Schizosaccharomyces pombe: one gene and its partners. The gene in region 2 interacts genetically with the main gene of each other region. Each region holds a gene or a part of one and is shown on either strand. Other genes may lie near its edges. The genes, in order: ubp3, pun1, pdk1 and ate1.

Evidence for each region.
Region 1: mutations in pun1 (region 2) and ubp3 together harm fitness more than expected from each alone (negative genetic interaction), as found in Schizosaccharomyces pombe (one large-scale study listed by BioGRID).
Region 3: mutations in pun1 (region 2) and pdk1 together harm fitness more than expected from each alone (negative genetic interaction), as found in Schizosaccharomyces pombe (one large-scale study listed by BioGRID).
Region 4: mutations in pun1 (region 2) and ate1 together harm fitness more than expected from each alone (negative genetic interaction), as found in Schizosaccharomyces pombe (one large-scale study listed by BioGRID).

Annotation. Positions count from the first base shown.
Region 1 is NC_003423.3:3,675,297-3,680,881, forward strand, and holds ubp3 (ubiquitin hydrolase Ubp3), read left to right. Parts: upstream 1-2,352; 5' UTR 2,353-2,416; coding exon 2,417-2,497; intron 2,498-2,535; coding exon 2,536-3,993; 3' UTR 3,994-4,365; downstream 4,366-5,585. Other genes in the region: RNA methyltransferase Nop2, read right to left, coding at 1-1,281; erd2 (HDEL receptor), read left to right, coding at 4,730-4,751, 4,789-4,914, 4,970-5,460.
Region 2 is NC_003424.3:3,694,474-3,699,055, reverse strand, and holds pun1 (SUR7 family protein), read left to right. Parts: upstream 1-2,620; 5' UTR 2,621-3,027; coding exon 3,028-3,894; 3' UTR 3,895-4,082; downstream 4,083-4,582. Other genes in the region: mde6 (muskelin), read right to left, coding at 1-486, 529-635, 688-1,261, 1,304-1,548; ain1 (alpha-actinin), read right to left, coding at 4,165-4,582. UniProt on the Schizosaccharomyces pombe protein: Contributes to the wild-type cellular response to nitrogen stress through signaling pathways that regulate the expression of genes involved in amino acid biosynthesis. Required for wild-type filamentous growth, cell growth, and cell-cell adhesion.
Region 3 is NC_003423.3:3,113,106-3,118,928, forward strand, and holds pdk1 (serine/threonine protein kinase Ppk21/Pdk1), read right to left. Parts: upstream 3,405-5,823; 5' UTR 3,282-3,404; coding exon 3,078-3,281; exon of another isoform or gene 2,975-3,077; coding exon 2,738-2,974; intron 2,684-2,737; coding exon 2,574-2,683; intron 2,511-2,573; coding exon 2,340-2,510; intron 2,290-2,339; coding exon 1,356-2,289; 3' UTR 1,126-1,355; downstream 1-1,125. Other genes in the region: SPOM_SPBC1778.09 (GTPase-activating protein), read left to right, coding at 1-863; proteasome core particle subunit beta 1 Pre3, read left to right, coding at 4,564-4,619, 4,663-4,745, 4,798-4,930, 5,114-5,522.
Region 4 is NC_003424.3:2,075,797-2,081,125, forward strand, and holds ate1 (arginine-tRNA--protein transferase), read right to left. Parts: upstream 3,048-5,329; 5' UTR 2,935-3,047; coding exon 2,818-2,934; exon of another isoform or gene 2,764-2,817; coding exon 2,732-2,763; exon of another isoform or gene 2,691-2,731; coding exon 2,625-2,690; exon of another isoform or gene 2,571-2,624; coding exon 2,047-2,570; exon of another isoform or gene 2,001-2,046; coding exon 1,930-2,000; exon of another isoform or gene 1,889-1,929; coding exon 1,628-1,888; exon of another isoform or gene 1,589-1,627; coding exon 1,484-1,588; 3' UTR 1,311-1,483; downstream 1-1,310. Other genes in the region: serine/threonine protein kinase Pit1, read right to left, coding at 1-450; AAA family ATPase Elf1, read right to left, coding at 3,478-5,329.

The DNA of each region.
Region 1 (5,585 bases), on a different chromosome or scaffold from region 2:
TTTATATATAACACCAGTACCCGAACATGGGGCGTCAAGGAGAACACGGTCAAAACCGCCAATTACTTCGTTGGGAAACTTGCGGCCATCGTAATTACATACAATAGCATTACGTACACCTAAACGATGAATGTTAGCGGAAAGAGCCTTTGTTCGAGCTTTGTTAGAATCATTTGCAAAGATAATTCCAGTATTCTTTTGTAATGCAGCAACATAAGTGACTTTACCACCAGGTGCTGAGGACATGTCAAGGATACGTTCATTTGGTTGAGGCGCAAGGGCCATTACAGGCAAGAAGGAAGATGCAGCTTGCAGGATGTAATGACCAGCTAAATATTCGGGTGTCGCACCGATTGGAACCTGGGATTCGAATACTTGGAGACCTACTTTGGACCATTTACCAATTGGTTCCAAATTGACACCACGATTAATTAATGCTTGGGCTAATTCTCGTCGCTGGGTTTTTAAAGTATTGGTACGAATTGTGACAGGACGAGGCATTTCATTTGCCTCAAAAAACTCAACAGCCTCAGAAACTGAAAATAATTCAAATAACTTCTCAGCAAGAAAGCGAGAATAACCGTAATACGCACATATATCATTTAAGAGTTGATCAACATATTCAGAACGATTGCGTCCAGGTTCACACAAATTTTTAAAATCATTCAAAACACGGACTATTTCCTGTATCCGCAATTGAATTTGGCTCAAATCCTGTGGAAGAGTAGATATTGGTTGGCTATCGGTAAAACCATCAATAGGTGGAAGAACAGTAGGAGCCTCAGGATGTATGTTGGTATGCAATTCTTCCTCGGCTTCTTTTTCCTCTAATTCCGCTTCCTCATCAAGTTTGCGAGACATGGCTTCCATATTCGCAAGTTCCAAATCCTCTTCATCTCCAGAATCATCGCTAAACATAGGCTTAACCTCATGCTCTTCATCCGAATCAAAAACAGAATCTTCTTCCTCCCCTTCACATTCTTTAGCCTCATCATCGATAAACTCGTCAGCAAATGTTTGGGGTTCCTCGTCATGTTCCAAGTCTGATAAAGTTTCAGCCTCTTCAAATTCGTCTGCATCAATAAGATCTTTTTCATTCTCAGAATCCGAATTTTCAAACAAAGATTTCTTTTCTTCTGCTAATTGGCGTTTCCGAGAATTTTGTGGTTTTTCTTTTGAATGCTTTCTCTTTTTTGCATTTTCTGTCACTTTATGAGAAGAATTATGATTTTCCTCTAAAGTTGGGGGAATTCCTTGCTTAGACTTCTGTTTTCTTCCCATCTTTTATGGAAAATATGTGATGAAGTCCAAAAACGTTTATTTGGGCTGAGGAAAAATTTTGGCACTGGCATTCTTTCAGTCCAACCTCCACTATTCACATCGCTGAGTTTTGTTAAAAACTTTTACGAAAGATAAAGAACATTAAATTTTTTCAAGCAATACTACACTACGCTATGACATACTATGTTGCGTATCACTATATGCCATATGTTTAAATACTTAAGATCCGTTTATTGATACACGAGGATAAACTATCCGTCTATCTACATAGATGCAACGTTGATAGCAACTTATAGAAATATTATTAATAGAGCTACAGTTGAACTGAGGAACGAGGTACAGTTCCTAGCTGTATCGATGATCGATACTAATAGCTTCCTATAAACATTGTCAGTTAAAAATATACTGCATCCCGCTATATTGTAGATCGCAAGAGAAAATTGCCGCAGTTCTATGTATCGTTAAACAGATATTCAAACTGCATTGCTGAAACACAAAAAGATATACCGCATAGCAACAGCATAGTTAACATTATTAAAAATTCACGACTATTGTTATATTTATCTTTTTTAAAATTTGCTACGTACTTTACTGCTCAGCTTACTTAAAAAAGTCACTTAATTTACTCGTTCATCTTACTTCACCTCCTTGACAATTAATCATTTCAATTATGATCACATTAAGACTTGGTTAACGATTGAATTTGCTGCGGCGTAAAATGAGTGACAATATATATTCAAGACCTATATATAGTTCACACAACAGCAGAATATCGAATTTTAAAATTTACTATTTACTTTTCTCTTTTCGTATCACTTTTGTGGTTTAAGATACATATAGTGGTACTTAGATATGTAAATATACCGTATTCTCTAAAAATAACTAAAGATGGGCATGGACATTCAATAATTAATAATAAAAAAGAACAACTAAAAATAATTAGGAATTTGAGTTAGGCGGTCAAGTGTTTACAGTGGAATATCACCATAATACACTTGGTGGAATACGAAGAATTAACGAGGTATAGTGTATATTAAAAAAAGTTTTGGACAGTCTTTTGAAGAGCAAAGCGAACGACAGCCAACCATCAAATTAGTAAACAAGAGTTCAATCTTGCTAGAGTGTGCGTATTTCCATGCGAGATTTGACCTCTGCAACGGACAGCGCGTCTTTGGAAAGTGATTCGTCACGAAATCAATTTATTATCAATTCACTGGTATGTTTTATTAAAATTGTGATTATACTAACGTTTAGCTACCATGGTACTCATGCTCTGAACATGAATTTCCTCATCGAAAGGCTAGAAAAAGGCGTTCGCCTAAGAATTTAGATTGGTCGGTTTCGGTGCAAATGCCTCTGGTCACATCAAAGACGAAAGAGTCTGAAAAATCGCCTAAATCGTGGTCTGCAATTGCGAAAAAGCATGTTCAAGGAGACTCTCCTGTTAAAAAATCACATTCTGTTCCGGTACCGTCTGACAGGTCTGAGAAAAAAAGTTTCAATTCATCCCTTGGTGAATTGATCGAAACATATTCTCCATCCCTCGATGCACCCCGTCCTATACAGCCTCGGGGTTTTATAAATACCGGAAATATATGTTTTATGAACTCTATTTTACAGGCACTAATGTATTGTGTTCCATTTTATAATTTACTTAAGCAAATTAACCGGATGGTTCCGTATAATTTTGAACGTACAACACCTCTTATTGAATCGTTGACAATGCTTTCTAGGGATTTTAGAGAATATTCTGAGAAATTTGATTTACAAGGAGATTCTATTTTGCCAGAAGTGGTATATTCAGCTACTAAGGGGAATCCTCGATTTGAAATGTTGCAGACCGGCGAACAGGAGGATGCTGAGGAGTTTTTGAATTTGTTTCTTGACGAATTACATGAAGAATTCGTGCGTGAACGTAGACATTATTTATTAAAAAATGACGAAAGAAATCCAAAATCTGATATCAAAATTTCAAATGGTATCAAGTCTGGTTTAGATAGTTTTGATGATCAATCTTCTGTAGAAGCTAGTGGCTGGACCGAAGTTGGTAAAAATAAAAAGCCAGTAATTGCTAGATCTGCTACTGTTGAAAGGTCTCCTATAAGCCAAATTTTTGGTGGTCAGCTGCGCTCTACCTTAAGGGTTCCGAGTGCAAGAGATTCTGTTTTGTTAGAACCGTTTCAACCTCTGCAACTCGACATTCAAGCAGAAGATATACATTCAGTTATCGATGCGTTGGAGCATATGACCGCCCCTGAAATTTTACCGGAATGGCATTCGTCGAAAGGAAATGTTACTGCTACCAAGCAAATGTATATAGAGTCACTTCCTCCTGTCTTGATTCTTCACCTTAAACGATTCTTTTACGAAGCATCTGGCGGTACACAGAAAAATTATAAGCCTATTGCTTATCCTGCTCGCTTGAGTATTCCACAAAACGTTTTCAGCCCTTCTGTTCGTGGTTCCATACATCCGGAATATGATTTGAATGCAGTGGTTTATCATCACGGTACTTCTGCGTCTGGTGGTCATTATACTGTCGATGTTCAGCAACTTGATAAAAGCGGCTGGTTTCGGATTGATGATACACACATTCACCGCGTACCTATTCATGATGTTGAAAACTCCGAACTTTCCGCTGATCCGAGTCTTAGTAAACTTGGTCACGGCGATCGTGTGGCATACTTACTGTTTTACACACGACGCTCCTAGGTCATCTGGATTCCTTCCTCCCAAAAAAAATTAACCAATAAAAACCTTAATTGTTTTGTGTATTCTTCAATAAACAACTCAAGGATTTGAGCTAAAACTGGGGACTACACTTTTTTATAATTCTTTTTGTTTAAAACGTCGGTTAGAAAATTTTATCATATCTTTTTTACATAATTTTCTCAAAAAGGTTCAGCAATTTTTTATTATTTTTTATTTTATGAACTTTAGCTATTTAAGATTACGTTCCCTCTCAATCCCTTTAAACTAATCGGCTTTATAATACAACCTTTCTAGGAACTTACTCCGAATATACAAGTGAATTTTCATTGCAGCTTTAATGCAGTATATATTTTAAAACAGTACCAAAAGTAGGGTCAAGTGGTTTTTATTTTGCTGTCCTATTAGTAGTAGGTCAAGTCCAGCTTCATAATGTAATATTTGAAGTACTATGGCATCAAGTTTGTCACTTTAAAGCCCATTTCTATAATTTTCATGCAAGCTAAACTCCTTGTTTTAAATAAAAAGATTTGATCGTTTGAGAATCTTGATTCAGCGCATTCTAAAGTACGAATATAAATTACAGTTTTTTTGTTGCATTTATTAAACATTTGGCCCCCACTTGCATACCCCAATTATATCTCTGCGCAGTTAAGCCTATTGTCAACACCACTACCAAATTCTTTTTCCTAATACCTGGCGCGTTGAAATAGGCACTCCTTACTTTTATTAATTAATCATGACATTTTTCAGTGCACTGGGTATGATGAATTTCGTCAAAGTAAAGCTAATCATTAGGTGATATGGCCCATTTGGCTGCTATTTTCTTGCTTTTGCACCGAATGAAAAAATCGAAAACCTGTTCAGGACTATCTCTCAAATCCCATCTTTTGTTTCTGCTTGTTTATGTTACACGTTATTTGAGTATGTGCTGAACTTTTCGAAAAATACTTTCTTTGCTAACTCTTTTTTTTAACAGATCTCTTTTGGAGATACAAAAGCTTGTATTATTTCTTGATGAGGATAGTTTTTATAGCTTCCGAATCCTATATATGCTACTTGATGTTAATGACTTTGCGACCTACATATGACAAACGTCTTGATACTTTTCGAACTGAATATATCTTAGGTGGTTGTGCAGTTCTGGCTCTCATTTATCCAACCAGTTATACCATTAGTAACATCCTATGGACTTTTAGTATTTGGTTAGAAAGTGTTGCAATTCTCCCTCAATTGTTTATGTTACAACGATCTGGTGAAACAGAGAGCCTGACTGCCCATTACTTATTTGCAATGTGCTTATATAGAGGACTATATATTCCTCATTGGATTTATCGTATTGCAGTTCACAAGAAAGTCATCGGTGTTGCAATTCTTGCGGGCATTATCCAAACCGTTTTGTATGGTGATTTTGCAGTCGTATATCGCCGAACAGTTCTACAGGGAAAAAAGTTCCGATTACCTGCTTAGTTATGATTTTTATTGATGAAAAAAGAAGGAATCTTTATTGTTTTTTTTCTATTTGCATTACCTTTTTCTCGATGCAATAAGTTTCTGATTGCATTTTTAGCAACGCCGTCAAAGGACTATGTTCA
Region 2 (4,582 bases):
TAACACATGTCTAAGATGAATTCTTGATCATAGCTTTGACCACCGAAAATATAAAGTTTGTTCTCATCAGGAAAATATTCCATGCAATGACCCATCCTTTCAATCTTAAACTCACAGTGTTTTTGACGATCCTCATACCTGACAGCCAACTGTTCCCAAATTCGATTTTTCGTATCATATGCATAAAGTCCCTCGAATACCAGTTCATCTGGATCCCATTTACATCCACCACTCACATATACAATACCTCGCTTTTCGTCTACTGACATTCCATGGTCAAAAATAGCGGCAGGCCCACCATCTTTTGAAGTGTCATAGGATAAACATGTCCAAACTTTTTTGCTAATATCAAATTCCCAAAAATCTGTCCTTGCATCTGGGGGCACCTCGGTTTCCCTAGATGAGCCAAAGTAATTCCCAAGTAGATACAGCTTTTGTTGGCTAGTATCAATGACCATTCTGTGACAAACCCTCTCACCAGGAATTCTAATACGTTAATGGATAGATTCTTTCTAAAAAATGACATACCCATATTCATTCTCCATAATCCATAAATCTTTATCAACATTGTAAATCCAAAAATCAGAAAATGTTTTGACACCATCCCAGCCGCCGTATAAATAAATACAATTGTCCTGTATGAGGATAACTGTTAATACAATAAAATATCGAAAAAATCTAAGGTACCTTTGGATTGTAAACCATTTGATGACCGCTTCTTCTACTTATTCCTTTCAAAAATGTAGCTATTCTATGCGACCGTAATTTGGTTAATTTATGCTTTGGCCATTTCTCAATAATTTCAGCTTGAAGTTCTTGTTGAAACAGAAGAATGGTTTTTTGAGTGTCTCCTAGTCTGCAAAATGCATCATACATTCTCATTAAGGGTGAATGTGGTATGGAAAGCTGGTAGCTTTGAAGTATCACAGAACATATATCAAGTTTCCCTTTAAAAGCAAAGTAAGAGAGAAGGCAATTGAGTGCCTTTTTTTCTAGATGTAAAGCTCTGTTCTTCTCTGTGCATGATAAAGCGCTGGCTGAGTCAATGCCGTGTAAAGCAACATACCATATACTCATGTTAAATTCATGAGCATGAGCTTGAAGTGGAACAATTTTGATATACTTACAAGCAATTGAATTCTCAATTTTGTTATATTTCTTGATACACAATGGAAATGTTTCTCGATTTGAATCATTTGTCAATCCAGCTCTTAATAAAGGGAACATCAAATGCTGTTCACGCCCCCCATATACTATAAAACTTAAAACTGTTAGAGGAAGAAAAAAAAAATAAACCGCTTACTCTTTAAGGTTGCAAAGATGGGGAGTGTGGAATTTCCCAAAGGTGATATCGGTAACCAACGCAAGTTTATCAAGTTTCAGAATTACATACTGTTCTTCAGAGTTGTTGGGTTTACATATTGAAGTATTACAGCTCCATCGGCTGTTAGCCTGGTGTGGATTATCGATAAGTATATTGATAGGATGAAATGCTCCAGAATAGCTGGACCAGCTTTGAATGGTATAAGACAATTCTTTACGTTCCATTTAAAGAATCAATAATTATCTTCGTCTGACCGCTATGAGTCTAGCAACAATGTATGTGTATTGGAGAAATCAGGAAAGCACCTAATGTAAACAAACAAAAGAGGCAGTAATGATCGCTTCCTTAAGGTGCTTTACAGTCTTGGTAAGGGTCTAAACTTAAAAGGGAAATTTCAGTAAACAATTATAATTCATTTTGTAAAAGTTGAAATTGGATCCAGTATTGAACTTAACTTATTGACGAATATGAAGAAAGTAGTTCTGTTCTGCCATTCGATATTACAAAAGAAACTCCAACAGCTCTTTCGCATTTCTCCAGAAAAAAAAATAACTATTTTGTCATTATCTGAGAATTTCGCTCATTTATTTGGCAAATTAAATGAATTCACAAACTACCCAATCTTGCGATGGACCAAACCACTTTCCAAAATTTCAATTGTAACTAGAGCAACACAACCATATTAAGTATAAATTATTGGTTAATTAAGTATCCTCGTCATGAAAGCATGGTAGAAGATAATATGGGAAATCTATATGATGTTAGTTTAAATATTATATCTGATTCATTGACGACGTAAATTCCTCTTCTCTATTATATAATCACGGATCTTTGAGAGTCATTAAACGATTAAATGTTAATATGATAATCATATGATTTCTTTTTTATACAAAAACTATATAAAGCCCAAATTATTGTGTTCGGTATCATGGAACGAATACTAAGAAAAGCAAAGCGCTTATGTTGATTTTTTTACTTGGCTATCTAATGAACGCTTTCTTTTCATATATAATGGGGCTTGAAACTCAAGCTGCGCCTATATGTCAGTAATGTACGACACAGCATGCGCCGCTGAGTTCGTATATCAGAACTGTTTCTTTTGCTGCGAAAGAACTGTAAAATTGCTGTCACTGCATCCTTTTCACACGTATAATAGTCGAGCTTGTTGCAAACATCGAAAACGTCCCGCGTTTGGTTTATTTACATTGATATGACCCGTCTGTTTACACTTGGTTGTCATGACAACTTCGCTTTCTCAAAACATATTTTACTCGTAGCGGGCCCTCCGTGTCAATTGTGGCATTCCAAATTTACAGAAGATTAAGACTTTAAGAGATTGCGCCTCTGATGCGTATAAAAGGTTAAGAAACAATCAGCTACTTGCCTTTACGATTGAAAAAAAAAACCAGTTCTCTCTCTTTTGTTTACTATCCATACTATCTTGTTTACTCAATATCCTCGCGTTAAATCGTATTAATTTCAAAGAAATTCGTTTTACAACAGCGTTTTTGAAGTGTTTCCCTCTATTTTTCAGCCGATTTTTTGTCCTTCTTCTTCCCAGCTTCTTGAAGAATTGTTTATTTCTGGAGACTACATATCAGTTTTCCTTATTAATCGTGATATCTATTATATATAATCATATATATTATTCTTTCTTTTTGTCATCCCAAGCAAATTGGTTTTTGATATAACTGTTTGTCAAAATGGGAATGGGGTTCAATCCTATTAAAGCTTTGTTCACTGGTATTGGTACCGTTTGCGTTGGAGTTGGCGCGCTTTTGTCAATTCTATGCATCATCAATCAAACTCAGCATAACATTGCTTTTCAAAATATTTACTTTATTCAACTGAATACTACATCTATCTTTTCTGTCGCCAATCAAACTGCTGTTGTCAATAATACAAGCAACCTACTTAACGAGCTTACTGGAACACTGGTAGACACGCTCGAAACATATATTGATCAAGGTGCTACTGATTTAATCGAACAAGTTGAGCAGGAGATGAAGGACGTGTCTGAACTCCCGGACTGGTACTCCATTGGTCTTTGGAATTATTGTCAGGGAAATTCGTCTGATTATACAAATCCTACTTATTGTAGTACTCCTTCTCCTAGTTATTACTTCAACCCCCTTACAATGCTGGAAACCAGTATTAATAATGCAACTGGTAGCCAAATTAACATCACTTTACCTTCCGAGGTGGATTTAGGATTAAAAGTGCTTAAAGGGGCATGTTATGCTATGCGAGCCATGTATATTCTTGGATTTATTTTCTTTGCTCTGACAATAGTTTCAATCGTTATTTCTTGCCTTCCATTTTTTGGTCCCCTCTTTCTCAACGTCTTCTCATTCTTTGCAACTATTTTTACTTTTATCGCTGCAGTTATCGCAGTTGCAACTTATCGTATTGCAATTTCTGAATTGGAAAAAAATATCGAAATTCTTAACATTCCAATCGTTTTAGGAAAGAAAATTTATGCTTATTCATTCCTTTCAGCAGCTGCTGGCTTAGCTGCTTGTATTCTATATTTTATTGGAAATCTTACATCCGGATACAGTCCACTTTAAGTTGTATCGTCCGTTATTTATTGCCCATTATTTGTTAAAAATTAGCATGTTGTTTTATTTTCCCTTCTTTTTGTATTGATGTCAAGTTTCCTTTTTCTTTCATTTTTATGTTAGTTAGCATTGAGATTTGTTTTTCTTCAGATAGTTACTGTATTTAAAAATATACTTTTCTTTGACCCTTGTAACGTATATATATTGTTATTCAAGTATACTAAATTTTCATCCAAATAATGTTCATTAAGTTTATCAAGTGATTCAAAATGCTCCGTTTTAAACTATTTCTTTGTCTTCGGCCAGTAATTGTTTAATCCATGTAAGATAATCCAGTCCTTCTGAATGTTTGTTCATGTTGCATTCTAAAAACTTTACTATATTAGGACGAACCTGACTCCTCAATAGATCATCGGACGTGACATAAGATTTTCCGTCTGCAACATCACAAAACGCATATAAAACTTGACGAGCACTATCACGATCCTCTAATTCTTCCATCACGATTTCTGTAAAACGCTCATAAGTAACACCCTCTTCCGAGTTAGCAGCCCTGTGAAACAAAGCAGTTCCTTCTTCGGTATCATAAACCAAGCCCAATGAGGCCAATGCGGCATAAAACTCGACCTCATTTAACATATTTGATTTTTTCTTTTCAAAATGGCGAAAGACTTTAGTAATTCCGTCTAGTTCTTGT
Region 3 (5,823 bases), on a different chromosome or scaffold from region 2:
GGAAATCGATGTGTTCAATACACCTCGTTTCCGGTAATCAGCTCCATTCTTTTCGAAAAACTCGTAAGTTAATTTTACGTACATTTAAGGGGATTCCAGATTGTTGGCGATCTATTGCGTGGTGGTCCTTTCTTGTGGATTCTCTTCCTGATAAAAAACTGATTGACAAGTATTACCAATTGAACGAGCAGATTTGTGACTATGATGTTCAAATTGACCTAGATGTTCCCAGAACAGCTGCTACACATTTCTTATTCCGAAAACGCTACATTGGAGGGCAACGTTTACTATTTAGAGTTCTTCATGCTGTAGCTCTCTATATACCTCGTGTTGGATACGTTCAAGGAATGGCTTCTATTGCTGCGACCTTGCTCATTTACTATCCCGAAGAACAAGCATTTATAATGATGGTAAATTTATTGGAAAATAGAGGCATGGGGGACTTGTTTTCTTCCGGGTTTGATACACTTTTAAAGGCTTTTGACATGCTTAAGCATGAGTTAAGTTTTACACAATCAGGCAGACATCTGGCGGAAATTGGAGCAGAACCATCTGCTTTTGCTACACGTTGGTATCTCACTGTTTTTCATCAATGCGTGCCCTTCCATACTCAATTACGTATATGGGATCTCCTGTTTTTATTAGGTGGAAGCAAAGGTCAAACTGTCAGGTTATTGCAAGCCACTTCTCTTGCGGTTATACAAGGAATGTGGGACACGCTAATTGATGCAGACTTTGAAGTAGTAATGCAAGCTCTGTCAGGTGTTATTCCCATTCAAAACGATAACGCCCTGCTTGCTAGAATTCAATTATTTTGGGAAAAAATGCCTTCTGAAAATTCTTCTAAAAGTAAGAGAAACTGATATTTCTAACTCTTTTTTAATAGCTTTATTAATTGTGGCCCACATGATGTAACATATGTCAACAAGATGAGGATTGATATCACAGAGCTTAGCATAATGGGTCCTGAACATTTATCATTTTCTTTTTCTGTTTTAATTTGGAACGTTGATAAACATTATTTCCTTGATACCACAAAACTTTTATTGGTATCAAGAGTATGCGCTTTAAATCGATCCTATCTAACTCTCTCTTCTTACTAATATTATAATTTTAACATCTCACCAAAAGAAATGGAATTTTAACATAAAATTAATTCAAGTATATATATTATAAATACTATACATATATATGTATACATAATACCTCTCCATCTTGCGACTTCCTAGGTGCGTCGTAATTTCTAATTATGTATAGCTTAAATAGTTAAATATTACCAAAACACTGACGACAAATAATAAAATATAAAGAAGGTAGTAAATGGGTTGAAAAATCAAATAAAACAAGGTATGGGGTTACTCTTCCTCGTTCTCTTCTACATTCTCTTCTGAAGAACGAGATTGATGAGAAGACGCAACATCAGCAAACTTAAGGATTTTGTCTTTATACTTGGTGACATCCCCGGAACTGTCTTCTATTATCCAGGACTGGACCTTATCTTCAATCAAGAATCGCTTGGAACTATTTTCATCAAAAATCACTACAACACTGGAATCCTTCAAGTTCACCTCCATCTCGATAAAAAGTCTCTCATGTTTTCCTTTACAAACAAAAGCGCATCGACCAACATCAGTTAATAGCATAACCCTTTGCTTTCTTTTCAAAAACATTTTTGAGAGTCCAGATGGAAACTTATTACCCTCAGGTACACTTGGAATGGGTGATACGAAGACCGAGGTAGATTCAATGATCGACTCAGACGATGGAACCAACTTGTAATAAAGTCTGTCAACAGGCATCTGATGGCTTCGAAGTGAAGCATAGCCATAATGAGCAGTTGGAGCAGTGAAACGATTTACCGTAGGAAGCTCCTGACGTCGAGCAGTTTCCTGATGCTTTACAATGGATGCAGAAGCAAATGCCGCGGCAGCATTAGCAGCAGCTGCGGCTGTCACATTTGAGCGATAATAAGCAGGAGCATTAGGAATGGCTATGTTATAATTAGGCCGGAATGACTGCATAGGAGGAGGATCTTGAGTCCATAAATTGTCCCAAGTAATAGTAGCAAAAAAAGGAAATTGTTTTATTTGTTGGGTTGTAGATCGATCAGATGGCTGAATACGGAAAAGATGGCTAAACAAAGGAACGATATCAGGTGGTAAGAGCTTTGGAAGCTCATATTCCAGGCTCATTATCTTTTTGAAAATATTATTAGGATTGCTGCCATGAAAAGGAGGGGAACCAACAATCATTTGATAAACAACACACGCAAAAGCCCATAAATCGGAACTTAAATATTTGTCAGAAAAAAAATAGACTGGGATAATAGGTTTTCTTACGATTTTGAAACAACTTGTCTAGACAATAGTTCAGGAGCAACATATTCCGCAGTGCCAACAAAGGAGCTTGGAAAGGTAGTGTAATCAGGGCTATTTACATATTTAGGGGGTAGGATTTTGGCTGTGCCGAAATCGGTAATTTTTACATGCATATTTCCATCAAATAAAATGCTAAAAAATAGGTTAGAATTAGGAAAAGGAAACGAACATTTAATGACCACTACTCAAACATACTTTTCTGGCTTGAGATCTCTGTGAATTATACCGCAGGAGTGCATATACTCGATACTTGATAAAATCTCAGCAGCATAAAAGCGCACACAATTCTCATCAAGAAAACGATACTACCAAAGCTTAGTTAATAAAGGAAAAATGAATAGACTAATGAAAAAATATACCTTTTTGATGTATTGCAAAAGTTCACCATTGGGTGCAAGTTCAAGCACATAATAAAGTTTTAAATCATCCTGAAATGTATGGAAAAGACGAGAGATACCAGGAAACCCATTAAGTCTCATCATAGAATCTCTCTCTATATTCACATACTTAACCTTATTTTCCTTGACAATATATTTTTTATCAAGGACTTTGATAGCGTACTCCTTCCAACTCTTTTTATCAGTTGCTCTTCTCACCTAACGAATATTAGACAACTTATTCGTCAGTAATCGAAGGTCCATAGGTTAATCGACCTGCGGTTGAAAAACTTCTGAACTGAGAAGCAATGTATCAACTTACCTTTGAGAATGATCCATCTCCTATAATGTCACCAAAAACGTAATCCGCCGGAGATTTGATCGATCCTATATGACTTGTTCCTGGTACTACGTTGGAAGACTGAGGTTTTACCGGATTTCTTTCACCTCTAGCCTCGAAGTAATCGGGATCCGCATAATCCGGCAATGTACTTCGGCTAATGCGTTTATGCTCCAGATCCATCATTTATAAAAGAGGTTTTCATGAAAAATGAAGTTGTGTTTGAGTTACTTTACGTTTGCTGTTCGATTCCAACTGAAACACCGTGCATTTAATTGTGGAGTTGCTGGCCTTGGAGTTGTGTTCTGTGAAGGATGTAAACACTAAGTAGAGTACCCTATTTCTCCAATCCTCGTCATTATTACATAAATTTAAAACGTAGAATATGCCATGTAAACAATAAATTAAAGGTCGAATTGTCAAAGAAAAAATGCTCATTAAGCAGCTTGATAGCCTTATCATACCCATCAAAGTCTTACATCGCATTAATGATACTTCGATATGACCTGAAGATGGTAGTACAAAAAAATTGCTTTGGGTGTTTATAGCATTAGCGAAAGCGATACAATTTGGAACGGCAATGAAAATTTTTTTAATTCAATGTTTTAAGCTCACGCTAAGCTATCCATGGCGATATTCGCTCTAAAAAGCAATAAATTGCTTGAATATGTTTGAAATAGTTTATAAATAAATATATATATGTACATATTGTTGAAATAACAGACACCTAAACAAAAGAGATTTTTAGAAAGCCAGTTGTCTTTGGGATACTGCCTTACTAAAATAAGCAAAATACACTGTAGTTAATGAAATGCTTCTTGCCTTAATTCCAAAATTAATTTGGCGATTAACAGAATTTGGAACATCCCCTATCACCTCAATATTGCTTGGAATTCTGCTTCGCTAGAAATGAAACATAACATGATACCTAATTCACAGTTTAGAAGATCCGTCGTAAGAAATTCTCGTAAATATATATACATCATTCCAGGTCGAACTTCCAATATCTTCATTTTTTGTTAAAAGATCATGGTCATATTATTTTCATTCTTCAATAGCTATGGTTTTTTTCATGTTATTTGCGTAAGTAAACCAAATATAAGCAGTCGTCAAATATTAAGAAAACAAAATCTTCAGAAACCTTTTTAGTCCCAAACTTTTAGATTCTTTCATTCTTTCCTATGTTAATTTCTAGCTGAGCACTTTCAAGTTCAATCCATGGTTATAACTCTGTAGTCGGCTGTAACTTTTGATCAAAAATTTTTAATACTATACCCTTATCTATAGTCGTTAAAGAATTTCTTAAAAAATATACGAATTCTTTCAACACTTTTTACAATTGAATAACAATTTTTTATATTCATACTGCAATTTCATATGCAGGTAGCAATGTTACCTAAATTTTGGCTGCTTCTCAATACCATACACAAGTCCCTAATCATTTTAACCTTTCACCAAACTTCTGAAAATGGCCACTACTGTGAAAGATACTATGAATGTTGACATTAATGCTATTAAAAAGGGGTATGATTGCGGGAAATTGATTTTGAAAGTTCTGACTTTGTAGAGAAATTCGTATGGGTACCACCATCACGGCGCTCCGTTATAAAGATGGCGTTATACTTGCTGCAGATTCTCGAACAACTATGGGTGTGTATTGGAATATCAGAACTTTTCGTTCTTTGATTTCTAACGTTGCTAGGTGCATATATTGCAAATCGTGTCACTGATAAGCTGACTCAGCTGACAGACAATATTTGGTGCTGTCGCAGTGGTTCTGCTGCTGATACGCAAACTGTGGCTGATCTTCTAAAATACTATCTTTCCATGTATCGGTAAGTTACCCTTGAATGAACCGAATGACTGTAAATTAAGGCTGCTTTAGCTGGTTTATCCTTTAGAATAAACTATCGACTTACTCTCAAGTCCTTATGTTTACTAGATGATTACTAAAGCCTTTTTGCATGTTTTATTTTTCATTTTATTGTTGTTAAAAAAATTATCTAACGATTATGAAGTATTCAATTTGGCCATGACCCTAGTGTTCATACAGCTGCTACTTTAGCTTCTGAAATGTGTTATCAAAACAAAAATATGCTTAGTGCAGGTTTAATTGTTGCTGGATATGATGAAAAAACTGGGGGAGATGTTTACAGTATTCCGTTAGGTGGTAGTTTGCATAAGCAACCTTTAGCTATTGGAGGAAGTGGTTCTGCTTTTATTTATGGATTTTGCGATGCTAACTTTCGCGAAAATATGACCCAAGAGGAGGCTGTTGAATTTTTAAAGAACGCTGTTGCTTTAGCCATGGAACGCGATGGCAGCAGTGGTGGTACCATTCGAATGGTCATTTTAAATAAAGATGGAATGGAGCGTAAATTTTTTGCCATTGATACTGCTAACCCTATTCCCGTATTTACTCACTAAGTACTTCACGTTTCCTTTTATTTTACGTGACTATACTGATACCCAATGCTTATGCTAGACTTGACCTTATTAATGCCTGTCTCATTATTTGTAGCTTTTGGAGTGCAAGGTCATGAAGAAAAGTTACTTTTCTGGTCAGTGAGATAAGTCTTTGTGATGATTAAAATAGAAAGATTTTTTATAGTTACAGTTAACTACCGAAGTGTAGTTATATTGTTGATAGTGAAAGAATATTATTGTTATGAGTCCTATGTAATTGTCATAAGAGTAAAAATGTTGTAAGATGCCTGCAAGCACATTT
Region 4 (5,329 bases), 1.6 Mb from region 2:
ATTGAGGCCTTTGAATATTTGACGCATAATATCTTGAACTTGCTCAAGAGTCAAAGGGTCGTTCTTTCTAGTACTTATTAGCTGGTACAAATTGCAATCGAGAAACTCCATTACAATATGTAAACATCGAAATTGATCTATATATAAATCGAAAATATTAACTATATTTTCATTTTCGGAAAGTCTCAACAAAGAATGTACCTCGCGCAATCTGGTAGCATCAGAAACCTTAGCCAGCTTTTTCTTCATACTTTTTATAGCTACTACTTCTTTAGAAGGAGTTTTAGTAGTTGCAAGGTAAACTGAACCGAAGGTGCCATCTCCAACCTTTCGCACAACATTATATACTTCATCAATTGAAATGCATTTGCGAACCTCCTTGGTATACTTTGGTTGCTTGCCTGTAAATACGGTATTCGTAGTTGGAGTACCCCACAAATACTTCTTCATAATATATCCGCACAAAAATCGAGTTTAGGTACAAAATAGAATCAGTGAAGCACCTCAACAAAAAAGATAAAACATGCGAAATCCTGTAAAAAGAGATATAAAAAAACTTTGTTGCAAAGGCAATATTATACTTGAGAAGCAGCTTCCAAGTAGCATACAGCTTAAACGCAATAAAAATCAAATCAAAATCAGTGATTTTCAATAAAGAATGAAATTGAACAAGTAAATACACCTCTCTATACAAGTATTTATCGTTGAGAAATGGTGTAACTTATTCAAAGAAAAAATGGAAGCGGTAAATGGATTTAAGCCTGTATTAAGAAAATCACAGTGCAAATTAATGAATTCTTTATACAAATGGTACAAAAATAGATAAAAGAACAATCCCTTATTACAACACCTTGTTTTAGGAAAGTAAAAGTAAAATAACTTCAAAATGGCATTCGAAGAAAAAATCAGTGCCTAGAAGTTGAATTGTAAGCCAACCGTGATTAATTATTTTTAAAATGCAGTCAACCCAATTTTGACACGAAATGTCATCGAAATCTGGTGTTTGCTAATACTCTATAGAATGAGAACCTAGCAGTAACACTTGAGAAAGAAAAAAGAAGAACAATTAAAGTAAAATCTCTTCTCTAAATGATAAAATCCTTTCTCACCTACTATGCACTGTTTTGCGATTATATTAAGTCGTGAAGTACCGGTAAACCCGTTTTTGTGTTTGGTTGCAAACAACTCGTAACGGAAAAGCCCACTAAGTTATGTTAGGGTGACATTTTAGGTAGCGTGCAGTTATAAATAATTACAAAATAAATATATAAGCCGGCAGTATTTTATATTATTAGAAATGCTATCAACTTCGATTAAGGGACATAAAAGAGGAAACTATCACACATAAGTAGTAGCATAAAATTAACTTAATTCTGTAAGTCACATTGTAAAATTTACTCTCAAAGCCATCCTGGAGTTCATTAAGATTTTTAAGTAGGATGTTCATATCTTAAGCAAATAAAACACGTAGACAGATAATATATCAACTAGATAAAACAAGTGTATAACTCTTTGCGACTTCTTCGCCCACAGCAGCATTGATTTCAACAAACCAATGTTTAACCTGAGGGAAATAACTTAAAACATGCTGAAGAATTAGCATTGTTACTCAAAAATAAAGACATACTCTTGTGGGGAAAGTTGAATTGCCAATGTTAGCAAAATTCTCCGAAACCAAGGACTCAGCAACATTTACTGAAAGAATTCCAGGAAGCTGTCGATTAAACAGTGTATAATCATCTTCGTTTTGAGATGAATCTTCAGAAGAATCGTAGTCAACAGCAGTTTGAATATCACTATTATTTTCATCCCCGAAACTTATATATTTAGGAGCACCAGTATTCCAAAGTGAAGTAAAGTTTTCAATTGGTATCCATTTATTTGTACCCTGTTTGTATTAGTTCAAGTTAAAATCGAATGTATACGTACGGGATTAAGCAGGTACGATGGACTATACGTTGCCTTATACTTCATTTTGGGACATGTGTGAATATAATAACCTGCAAGGTCAATCAACGTAATTAAATAAATGACATTTTAGCCTACCCATGTAGTAGTACCGATATCCGCATTCAAGAGCAAGCCAGATTTCACGGCAGGCACTAATCCTTCCCAGAGAAAACTTAGACATATCAGGATCATAAAACAGATAAACGCTAGAAACACCATGTGGTAGCAAGTCTAAAACTCCAACTGCCACAAGCCTTCCTTGAAATCGATACATCTGATGATAAGAACCATACTTTATCCCCTTGTCTTCATTAAATAAAGGAGAGTTGCAAAGAAACCTGCTAAATCCTTTTTTCGTGATTTCCTCTTCTTTCTCTAAATGAACTTGCATTTGATACTTTTTGAAGACTTCAAATTTCTCATCGGTGTAAGTGCAAGGCTCCATAGTTACAGAGTATTTTTCAGCTCCGAGCGATTCTATAGTTTGAAAGGCATTGTTCAAATAATCTGTGCTAATTTCGCTTTTCATAGGTTTTAATGGCTTTCCATTTACATATTTGACCCATTTTTTTATTGCCTTCTTTTGCTCTTTTGCAATTTTAAAATTATAGCTGTCGAGTCTTCAACATTCGGCGGTTAGTAATCAATCATATTTGGCGACTTATGCTAAGTACCTGATTGTATAAAGAGAACAGCAAGATGTTTTCCCGTTGGGTTTATATAAATAATGTCCTGAACGTCTTATTTTATATTAGCAATGTTAACTAATAAAGGTTTTTACCTCCATCCCAAATCAATCAATCGCTGGTAGTCCTGAGGTTAAATGTAGGTTAGCAAAATTTGCAAAAAGCAGAGTTATACGCTTACTTCACAACTGAGCTTTTCTGCTAATAAACCAAAATGCTCGGTCTTTCTTCCACTTTTACAATAACCACATTCAGTACTGACGTTGTACCCTGTGTACAACAGTTTATCCAATACCATACTATTGTTTGAAAATTTCCCTGTTTAATATTAAATGAACTATATCATCAGTAGTAAAACTCTTAGTTCAGTTCTTTTGCCTTTATTTTGAAGGCTCTTTGAGTAGGTGAACTAAGACTACACCAATTATTTCTTGAAGATTAAGTACCCTATTTTTCGTTGAGTGCATGTTTATAGAAATTTCCTGATTAATCATATTAAAAAGTCTATCACATTTTCATACGAATATCTAGAAAAAAACCCAAAAAATACATAGTTCTCTTGACACCTTTTACAAGAGTCAATGACAAAAGTGTATACGTCTAATACAACTATAACATGCACTAACGATAAACAAAACATATAAAAAGCGACTAATATTAATATTATCCACGATACCATCCACCAAGTTCTATATATATAAATTAAGTCTAAAAGGTATATCAGTAAACCGTAAATATGTAAAAGACCAACTTCAACAACTAGCACCGTCTAAAGAAAATTAAAGGATAAACAACTCTCAACTTGTCAATCCAAAGAGCGAATTAAAAAATTAGTCTGAAATTATTCTTCATCATCAGAGAAGAATGATTTGGGTTTTTCGGTGCCCTTGGGAGATTGTAACCATGCTAATTCTCTCTCTCTAGCACGTCTTTCTTTGGCCTTGATTTCATTTCTCGTCAATTTCTTCTTTTTGGTAGCTTTAGCCTCAATCTTTTTCAAATCTTTCTCCGACAGATCTTCAAACTTTCCATCGTCAACAGCGGTCTTGCCCTTACCGGTAACCTTACCCGCTTCTACATGCCAGTGTTCAGGACACAACGCAGAAACAAATTCTTCATTATGTGAAATCATAACGACCCCACCTTCCCAATCACGAATAGCAACAGCTAAACCACCTAATGCATCTCTGTCCAAAAAGTTTGTAGGTTCGTCCAAAACCAAAAGCTGGGGGTTATTCCAGAGACACGCAGCAATAACAACTTTAACCTTTTGACCGCCAGACAAACTACTAATGGGGCTGTAATCAGCAATGTCGCCAGGAAGGCCCACATCCTCAAAATGTGCCCTGATGTCTTCGGGAATCAATTCACGGAAACCGAGACCTTCGCGAGAAGATTCCATATCATCAAAAGCCTGTACAAACTTTTGAAACCCATTTTCAAGCAATATTTCTCGAGACACCCACGTATTGTATTTATGAGGCTTCCCAAACCATTTAATTTCATATTGAAATGACTTTTTTAGTTTTTGACGGCCAATCAAAGCTTCCACTCTTCTACGTTCGCCATTGACCGTAATATCACGCTGAAGCTGAGCACGGTCTTCTTCGGTAAGTTTTCGAGATTCCTTCTCTGAAACTTCGCGGTCCTGTCCTCCAGCATAACGCCATTGAATATATTGACTTGGCGTTTTTTCCAGATGTTGATCCAAGTGATGAAAGGCATGCTGAGCAACGTAACCCACACGCAAGTTGGGATGCTTGAAAACTTTTCCTTCTTGAGGGATTACTTCACCGATAAGAACTTTAATAAGCGTTGATTTACCAGCACCGTTAGGACCTAAAATGGCAACACGAGAAGATAAAGATAACCCAACGGTAACATTATCTAATGACTTCTTCTTCGCGTTGGGATATGTATAAGAAGCGTTTGTCATTTTTAATATGAGACGTGTGTTTGAGCGCACACCAGTTAAGATACCGGGAGGTGGAAAAACAAACTTCTCGTTTGTGGCTGTCAATGTATAGTATGATTTAGCTTCCGGTTTGACCTTGACAAAAGCTGAAAGATTACCTTGATAATAACCAAGCTTTTTTGCCTGGTTTTTAACACCTTCATAATGAATGATGTCAGTACACACGTGGTCCAAAAATGAAGAGTCGTGAGAAACTATCAAGCAAGTAATATTCTTTTGAGAGGTTAAATATGCTTCCAGCCATGCAATATTGGCAACATCAAGATGATTTGTTGGTTCATCCAAAAGCAAAATATCAGCTTTCTGCAACATGGCACGAGCCAACTCCAGTTTCATTTTCCAACCACCAGATAAAGAAGCAACAGGATTTTCCTGCATCTCCGCAGTAAAACCAACAGAATGCAAAGCATCAGCAGCTTCTTGACGGGTAACATTCATAGTCAGTAACGCCTTATCTTGAGCAACAAAGTCAAGGATAGCCATACTAGTATCCTCGCCTTGAAGACTATGTGCAACAAAGCAAGTTTTAACCTCATCAGGTGAGGGAAAGTTTTCAACCTTGTAATCACCAATAGCGCGTAACAAGGTTGATTTACCACAACCATTGTGACCAACAACACCGTATCGATGACCTCTATAAAGGTGAAGATTGGTATGACTCAGAAGCAATCTGCCACCGTATGCCAAAGAAAAATCAGTGTTAACTAGTTCCTCTTCC